Drosophila melanogaster: one gene and its partner. The protein of the gene in region 1 interacts with the protein of each later gene in a pairwise test. Each region holds a gene or a part of one and is shown in the gene's direction. Other genes may lie near its edges.

Region 1 (3,780 bases):
GGTTGCGCATGGCCTCGTTGATACGCTTCAGTTCCCTGTCCCGGAAGTACTGGTAGAGTAGCTCCGTTCCATCGGCTCCACGTTCGGCGGACATATAGGCGTCCACGAAGCGCTTGTAGGCACTCTCGATGGCCGGCCGTGACATGACCAGCTCCTCGTCGGTAAACTTGCACTTCTGCAGCAGCTCCTCTAGGATGTCCACATCCTCGAACTTAATCGCCTGCTTGCCACGCCGCATCTCGCAGCGTCGTTTCTCGAGGAAGTTACGGAAACAGTCCTCTAGAACCTGGCCCATCAACTCGGACTTCTCCTTGGAGAGATCACAGACACAGAGGTCCGATATTATGCTGTCCACCTGGCGCAGAGAGCGATCCAAAATGGTCTTGGCCACTGTAAGAAAATACAGGCGTGCGTAAAGAAAAGTTTGATACTTTCTACATCCTGTGGGAGTACTTACCCATAGCCTTTTCCCTTGTCACGATCACCGAATGTAGATAGTCGATGATGAACTGGCAGAGGCACTCTTTCTTCGGCTGACACCTTAGCACCTCCCGTGTAACATCTGATAGAAGTTCCGGCAGACCCTCTGGAACATTAATCGCCTGCTGGCGCATCTTGCCACGCTGGATCAAGTAATTCATCTTCGTTTTTCAAAAGTATAAAGCAAAATTCTATAATTTTGAACAGTTTAGCTGAGAAGAAGATAATAATTCGGAAATGGTTCAGTTTTGAAATCCCTTTTAACCGGTCTACTACGTTAAGAGCAAATGAAAATAATAATTTACAGCGCTCTACAATGATTTTTACACGGACTGACTGCGAAATACCTTGCTGATGTAAGGTGCTCAGTTCTGTTTACTTAACCTAGATGGCGCTAGCAAAAAGCTGGTTTAAATGTTTAAATGGTGAAAAACAATAATGGGTTATATATTCTCAATTTGATCCATGAGCTTAAATGTTTCAAAAAACTGTCTCACACGTGTTCCTGAAAATTCCCAAAGTCCACTAACTTTGTAATATGTAAGTTGAAAAATTGTAATGTGTACTTGTGTTTCATGTGGGTAAAATGCACCTTGTACCTTTCAATGAAAGTGGGTGTGTATCGGAAATTAGCATTGCCTAATTTCGTATTCAGCCGGTATAGGAAATCAACAGGGTTCTTGGTGGATTCTTCTTTATCGAAATCCATTGAACCGCTTTCCCTTTCTGTTCTTTCAAATGATCTTTAACCCAGAAACTTGGTAATTTCACAAAGTTAGCGCCAAAACAAAATACTTTCGATCATTTTAGGTAGTACTATATAGTTGAAACACTTTATACGAACACAGTGGCGCAGTGGTGACTTCGGCGCTTATCAATACCATTTTTAAATGAAACTTTAAAATTTGTTAAAAACCGATTATAAATTACAAATTTGAAACAACTAAAATGATTTTAGTAATTCTTATACTCAATTAAAATCAATTTAAAAGAACCATTTTACAAAATCGATTAGTAGTTTTTAATAAACGGGACCCCCTTTCAATCTCCTCCCATGAACTTCGCCTCAAAAAGCTGCGTATAAAAGCTGTTTTCCTCGGTTGTATTTCGATCGGCTCGTCGACGAGTGCGAAAAAGCTTTCACTACCTCGATCGCAACCGGCACCACGGGCTTGGGATCAGTTGGCGACGGAATGCAGCAGCTGATCAGAGTGGCGCGGACGTTGGGTGAGGAACTGGGTGATTCCCGGCTGACTGGATGATCGATTTGCCGCCTCCGTCTTTGCAGGTCAACGCTCGAGCGGCGCATGGAGTGCGAGGATAATCGCTGGTGGAAACCGGGGAATCGCATGCCTGGCCGCCCTCTCCGAGACCCACCAGATTCTCCAGAAGACTTGCCGGGAGTTCGCCAATGCGGAACTGGCCCCCAAAGCGCGACACCACGACCGGGAGGAGCTTTATCCGGCGGAACAGGTCCGACGGTTGGGAGAACTCGGTCTCATGTCAGTGACGGTTCGAGAGGAGTATGGTGAGTTCCTATTTCAATTATAATATTTACAATATTTACATAACATAAAATATGTGATGTTTTCATTTTTGAAATGGTATATAAATAGATCATACTACTAGATTCCATTCATTAAATATTGATTTTTCAGGTGGTTCCGGATTGGATTACCAGGCCTACGCGATTGGCATGGAGGAGGTGGCTCGTGGTGACGCCGCCGTGTCCATTGTGATGGGCGTGAATAACCTGTACCTGGGTGCAGTGCAGCAGCATGGAACCGAGCAGCAGAAGCAGGATTTCCTGGTGCCGTACACCCAGGGTGAGCACATCGCCTTCTATGCACTATCGGAACCTGGAAACGGATCGGATGCAGGAGCTGCCAGCACCACGGCCAAGCTGCAAGGGGACAGCTACCAAATAAACGGCACTAAAGCGTGGATATCAAACTCCAAGGAGGCCAGCGGGGGTATCGTCTTTGCCACGGTGGACAAGAGCATGAAACACAAGGGAATCACTGCCTTTCTTACGCCCAAGGATGTTCCAGGACTCTCCATAGCCAAGAAGGAAAGCAAAATGGGCATGCGCGCGACTTCGACTTGCCAGCTGGTGCTGGAGGACGTTCACGTGCCGCGATCCCGGGTCCTTGGAGCTGCCGGTGATGGCTTCAAGATCGCCATGCAGTCCTTGGACTGTGGCAGGATCGGTATAGCCGCCCAGGCCACCGGTATCGCACAAGCTGCCCTGGAACTAGCCGTGGATTATTCGCAGAAGAGGGTGGCCTTCGGAAAGCATCTGGCACGGTTGCAGCTCATCCAGCAGAAGCTGGCCGACATGGCCACGCGGGTGGAGATCTCAAGGCTGCTAACGTGGCGTGCCGCTTGGCTGAAGGATAATGGGCTGCCAATCACAAAGGAGGCGGCCATGGCCAAGCTGCATGCCTCCGAGTCCGCCACCTTTTGTGCCCACCAGTGCATCCAGATCCTGGGTGGGATGGGGTACACCACCGATCTGCCTGCGGAGCTTTACTACCGCAACGCCCGCGTCACAGAGATTTACGAGGGAACCTCGGAGATCCAAAGAATTGTGATCGCCAACGCAGTGCTGCGGGAATTGGGAAAGGAGTGAAAGCCATTGTTGGTTTTTCTTTATTACTGCTGCCAAACCAATCAGAATTCTTGCTTTTACACTTGTTGTGTATGTAAATTAGTTTATCTATGCCAGACAAATGCATTTAATAAAGTATATTTAAACAAATGAAACCTGGATTTAGAAAAATATCTTTTTTCGATTAAATGAGGTAATTCCCCTAACTATAACTCTTTATGTTATATTGAAATGTAACGGCTTGCACATGACAGCATATCTAACATTTTTACCAACAGAGAAATGTAAACTAACATAAATTTAACAGTCATAGACAGTCATGAGAGAAAATATCGATGTTGCCAGTCATCGATACATAATTCGATTTTATTACAGCTGCTCCCTTGTTATTGTTTTCTTAATTTAAATAAAACTAATTTGACGGCTAAATGACGGCCAATTTGTTAAACCTGAACGTGGACACGCTGTTTGAGCAGCACAGCGTGTCCGAGATAGACGAGGTGCACAAAAAGATCCAGTCGGTGGTGGAGAACAAGCGCGAGGAGTTGCGCACTCATGTCGGGTGAGTGATGTGGCACCTTCAGAAGATTTGCTGCTTAAACATTCTAAATCTTTAAGGGAGCGGTACCGAGATCTTTTGCAGGCGGCTGACACCATTGCTGCGATGCAAACGTCGGCCGGGACACTTA
Region 2 (5,047 bases), on another chromosome or scaffold:
CTAAATCCATCCATGTCTACAACTCACCATTGTATCTACAGAATTCAGTTCACAGTCTTCATCCAACGCCGGTGGAGTACTTCTACCCGTCACAAAAGCGGTCAAAAGGAGGAGCAGAAATGCGAACAGTTGGGAGCACATTTTCCGCAATGCCAGGGGTAAATCCATTTAGAAGTCAGTGGCTTTTATAACTGAGCGCCCGCTTTAGGGGTGTAATTTTGCGTAACATTTGATGGCTTTTAATTTGGGGCTTAATTTACGTTTTTAATTATTCCACCCGAAAATGGCCCAACAGTCTGGCCGGGTGCAGCGTCATCGTGACCGTCGACGTCGTCATCGTTACGCTCCAGTTCCTGGAACGCACTGCAGATGAAAAGGCGCAGGCATCCATCACCGATCAAGCGGCGCAATATCCAAATATAGCAAAAAATTACCCGGGCCCTGGGCCACGCACTTTCCATTGGTCTTCTGGTCGGGCGAAGATGACTGGTATGATGTCTAGCAAATGCATGCGGAAGCATTCCCGATCCCAATTCCATTCCCACACCCATTCCGCTGCATTCAGCTGCAACTAATTAACCGAGAAATACATCATAAATAGTCCAACTGACGGACCCCCATCCCCCGTCATTGGTTCCAGTTGTATCTTGGGTTCCAGCTCCTCCTGCTCCTACTCCTCCACCTCCTCCTCGCCCGCACCCGATCCTCATCAGTCAGGGAGCAGACGTTGCGTCGCTGCCTCAGAAGTTTACCATTTGTTTATTTTCGACTCGCACACACACCCCGCCAAGGAATGGGAGTGCTCTGGATTAGTGATGTTAGATCTTAAGAACTAGCTTTTTATTTAAATGTTAACATTTTAATATTGATTCCGAATGAATGTAATGTAAAAATGAAATGAGTCTTAATATTATTTAGAAAGGTTGCTAGCACCAATTTATTCCTTACCTTTTCATTTTTACATTATTTAAAATTAAGACGAATTGCTTGAGCCAAAACTAAATTAACAAATAACTATGCACGATTTTAATTCATATGCCAGGTTTCACTGAGTTTAAAACCATTTTAAAGAAAAAACTCTAACTCAGCTGTTTTGGCGCCACTGCTCAAATGTCTTGGAGTGCGCATCACCCTCTGAGGATTGGGTGTGGATATGCGTGTGGACTCGGTGTGACTGTTGAGAAGGTATCCATACGCTTCGCCCTTTCCACGCGCCGCTTCACGGTGGCATGCGCTGCGGGAATTTTGGGGGGCAAGAGCAATCAAGCGGCACGTGCCCGCTTCAAGTTCAGTTCCCTGGAATTGGGACTCCCGAAACTATCTAGTAGCACCAATGTGTTACGGAAGCCCGGCCCAGAAGTCTCCCTTGGGAGAACTAATTTCTATATCCACGGTGACCATATGGTTATATGTTTTATAATATATCGTCCGGAGAATCTGTAAATCTCACTAAACACTACCTTTTTAGAACACGAAATACGTGGTAAGACCAAAGACACTAGAATTCTAGGGTCTTTGGTAAGACTAAGTTAACAAAAGTAAGACTAACATCTATGAAGTCGTTCAATAGTTGGTATGCTATGGGCGTTATATTTTAAACCTTTACTCTTACATATGATGGAGTCTATTAAAATGATAAAATGCTGATTCTGAATATCACCAAATAAATGAGCAATCCCATACTGACAATATTCCGTTGTTAACTGATTATTTTATTTGGCCATAATTACGTACTCCTTCAAAGCGAGAGCCCATGCCAACGACGACTGTTGATGGTAAACATCAATAAAGAATTGTCATAATCGAACAGCATCTGGTTTGGAGTGCAGCCAGTGTGTGGATCCTATTCGGTATGGTATCTGGGGCCTCCAGAGAAACTCTCGCTTTCCGCCACTCACCCACACACACGTGCACAAACTAAACGGCACTCCGGCCAGCAGCTCACACAGATACTCGATGGTAACGGACGGATGAGCACCGAGTCGAGGAGAATCCACCGCGGAGACGACGGCCAATCAGTCGAGAATCTGTTGGCAAACCGTGCAGTTCGTTCGGGTTTCCTTGCTCGCGTGCTTAGGAAGCAGAAACCAAAAGTAAAGCAGAAAGCAGAAGCAAAAGCAGAGGAGCTGGGCCGCCACTTGGAGCGACAGTTCCAAAATTCTGTCAAACTATACACACGCCATAAACCTCTATATATACTCGACGAATAGATAGTGCCACAATTTATTTATAAATCGCCTATATTTTTGGATCAAACTTGAGTGCCTTAGGAATTCGGTTTTGTGTCTAGTGTGAAAATGCCAGTGGCGAAATTGTGAAATCCCCGCGTGTCAAAGTCAAAGAAGTAGAGAGATACACAAGTCAGGAAGGACCCATCCATATCCCGCCACAATGCCGACCTTCGGCAGTAAGTTGCTCGCCTGCCTGCTGCTCAGCTCGGTGATCCTGGTCAGCGGACAGTTCGAGCACTATCTGGACAGCCTGCGCGCCTCGGAATTGTACGAGTTCGAGGATGGCTCCCTGGGCAGCATACACCTCTTGCCCAAGGGCGACAGCGAAACGATCGTGCTGCAACTGGAGCAGCCCATTCACTTCTACGGGGAGCAGTACGAGCAGCTCTATGTGAGTACCCCTAGCACGCATACCCCCCTCAGTAGATGCAGAATTATGTGAGACTACAAAGTATCTCAAATATTGTGCACTGAATGAATTTTTGCAGCGTGCAGGGTGACGAGGTGATAAGCACGCGTTGATAAGGGGCAATCTATATGCAAACACAACGCGGTTCAATAGTTTCTAGACTACCATGCATCTATTTCTGGGGGAGCCTGCTTTGTTGTGGTGCCCGCGTATTTATAGGCGACATTAATTTTCGGCAAAACATGACAGGTCGCACATCGATTTCCACACACGCACCCCACTCGCACCGTGTCCCAATAATCCTCAAGTGCCACACATCCGCAGCTACAATCCGCAGGCACTTGAGGGTGGTCCAAGACCAAAAACCGAAAACCAAACCCATTGATGTCGCTTTGCCGCCTTGGCCAAGTGCCAGATGCCAGAGCTCCGGGCATCCGAGTGTCTGAGTGGTTTCGGCACTTGGCAGCCAAAGTTATGAGTTCTCCGAATTGAGAGCCTACTGCGAGTGTCGCCTATTTTTGAACGCGCTTTTTTATCTGCTCTGCATTTTGTTAGTTAATTAACTAAATTTATGTGTCTGACGTAGAGAAATAGCACGCGGCACAGAATCAGAACGGCCAAAACGAGCTTTATGGCCATAGAAATCCATAAATTTCGTTGAAAATTCCTTGGCGGAATGCTTGAAATGATCGGAGGAGCCAGTAGCTTGTAGCCAGCCAGCTCCAAAGCGCTTGGGTCGGATTGGTGTCGAAGTCATTACGAAAGGGTATAAATAAACTCGTCAATAGTCCGTCAGTCAGTCGGCAAAATCGTGAGAACAATGCCAGCCTAGATTCCTTTAAGCGAAAAGAATTCAAAATAATGTTGATATAAAAAAATATTGAAAAGATCATTCGAGGATATGAATTTGCATTTCATTACAAATGACATTTGAGGGGAATAATAATCTATTTTATGTTTCGTCGTGTTTATGTTTCATGATATCATTTGTTTCCTAATCTGGACTTGTCGTTTTGTTTGCAAATGCAACACCCACTTTAAGCAAAATAGAAACAATTTTAACAACAATTTAAACATTTTGAATACTTTGCACAATTGAGGTGTGAAATAGAGGCTAAGCAGGAGTGAAGTATTTGATGTTTGCTTACCCAACCTCAATTTAGCACCCATTGTGGCATGTTGGATATCCATGTGGAGTTGGGCATCCATACAAATCACCAGGCAAGCTGCCGGAATTTCCAGACATCCGTGTTTCCCCGTCGCGATGAACGGAATCCGTGGAGCCACCAGAGTGACATGATTTATGCAACGGCCTGTCGGCAACCACAAGAAAGGCATTTCGGAAACACCTGTGCTCCCATTCCGGGTTGTTTATTCAGATTGCCTGTTGCATCGATGGAGTTGCAGCTAATTTTAGGCGGATCGTTAGGCGGATGTCGGCCGAGGACTCAATTAGGAGGCACTGCAGCAGATCACTTAATATGCATCTCGGGCCACATCCTTTCGTCAGATCATTTGCCGCCTCCTTAATGGCTTGTTGTTGTTTTGTTTCCGCCAGGCGAATGGCCATTAGGAGTTAAGTGGCCCGTTAGCACTTCACGGGGCGCACTGATTGCCACGCCATATGGAGGCCAAGTATTTCCACTTCAAACGATCCCAAGTGGAACTTCCTTATTCCCATACACTTAACAAAATGATCCTGATATCTTTCAAATGAAATAAGCAAAACATTTTCAATAACACCTTGAGTACACCAATTGAGTATCGCCTTCGAAACATTTATAAATACCATTTTGGACGAAGACAATTGATCTTTTAAATGTAACTCCCGAATATTCCTTATTTGTGTTACTTATAGTTCTTTCATGTATTCTCTAGATCAACACCAATGGCATCCTCACCTTCAACTCCGAGTTTCCCGAGTACCTGAACCAGCCCTTTCCGCTGGAATATGCTTCGATAGCGGCCTTCTACTCGAACGTGGACACCTCGTTCAGTGATGAGGGCACCTCGATCTCCCTGTTCGAGTCCAAGGAACAAAGTATTCTCGACAGGGCCTCCAGTTTGGTGCGTTACGCCTTTAGCAGCCAGTCTGAATTCGAGGCTCGTCAGGTGATCGTGGCCACGTGGCGCAATGTGGGCTACTTTGACTCCAAGACGGACCGTCTGAACACCTTCCAGGTGGCACTGATTGCCAACGAGCAGAGCACGTTTGTGCAATTCATCTATCCGGATGGCGGTCTTAACTGGTTGCAGGGCGAAACAGCTGGACTTGGTCTCCCCGACATTCGTGCCCAGGCGGGTTTCGTGGCTGAAGATGGACGCTTCTACACCTTGAACGGTTCCGGATCGGAGAATGTAAGTGTAGTATATATATTATAATTAGGTAGCACTAATTATATTCTAT

The links.
Region 2: the proteins of CG4860 (region 1) and Ndg interact in a two-hybrid assay, tested with the Drosophila melanogaster proteins (one large-scale study listed by BioGRID).

What each region holds. Positions count from the first base shown.
Region 1 is NT_033777.3:12,219,344-12,223,123, reverse strand, and holds CG4860 (uncharacterized protein), read left to right. Parts: upstream 1-1,659; 5' UTR 1,660-1,673; coding exon 1,674-1,707; exon of another isoform or gene 1,708-1,768; coding exon 1,769-2,008; exon of another isoform or gene 2,009-2,085; intron 2,086-2,138; coding exon 2,139-3,112; 3' UTR 3,113-3,243; downstream 3,244-3,780. Other genes in the region: Rsbp15 (radial spoke binding protein 15), read right to left, coding at 1-390, 458-641; Cog1 (component of oligomeric golgi complex 1), read left to right, coding at 3,520-3,653, 3,710-3,780.
Region 2 is NT_033778.4:10,311,883-10,316,929, forward strand, and holds the start of Ndg (nidogen), read left to right. Parts: upstream 1-2,008; 5' UTR 2,009-2,391; coding exon 2,392-2,622; intron 2,623-4,518; coding exon 4,519-4,998; intron 4,999-5,047. Other genes in the region: Obp46a (Odorant-binding protein 46a), read right to left, coding at 28-141. UniProt on the Drosophila melanogaster protein: Cell adhesion glycoprotein which is widely distributed in basement membranes. Involved in cell-extracellular matrix (ECM) interactions probably by connecting the laminin and collagen IV networks.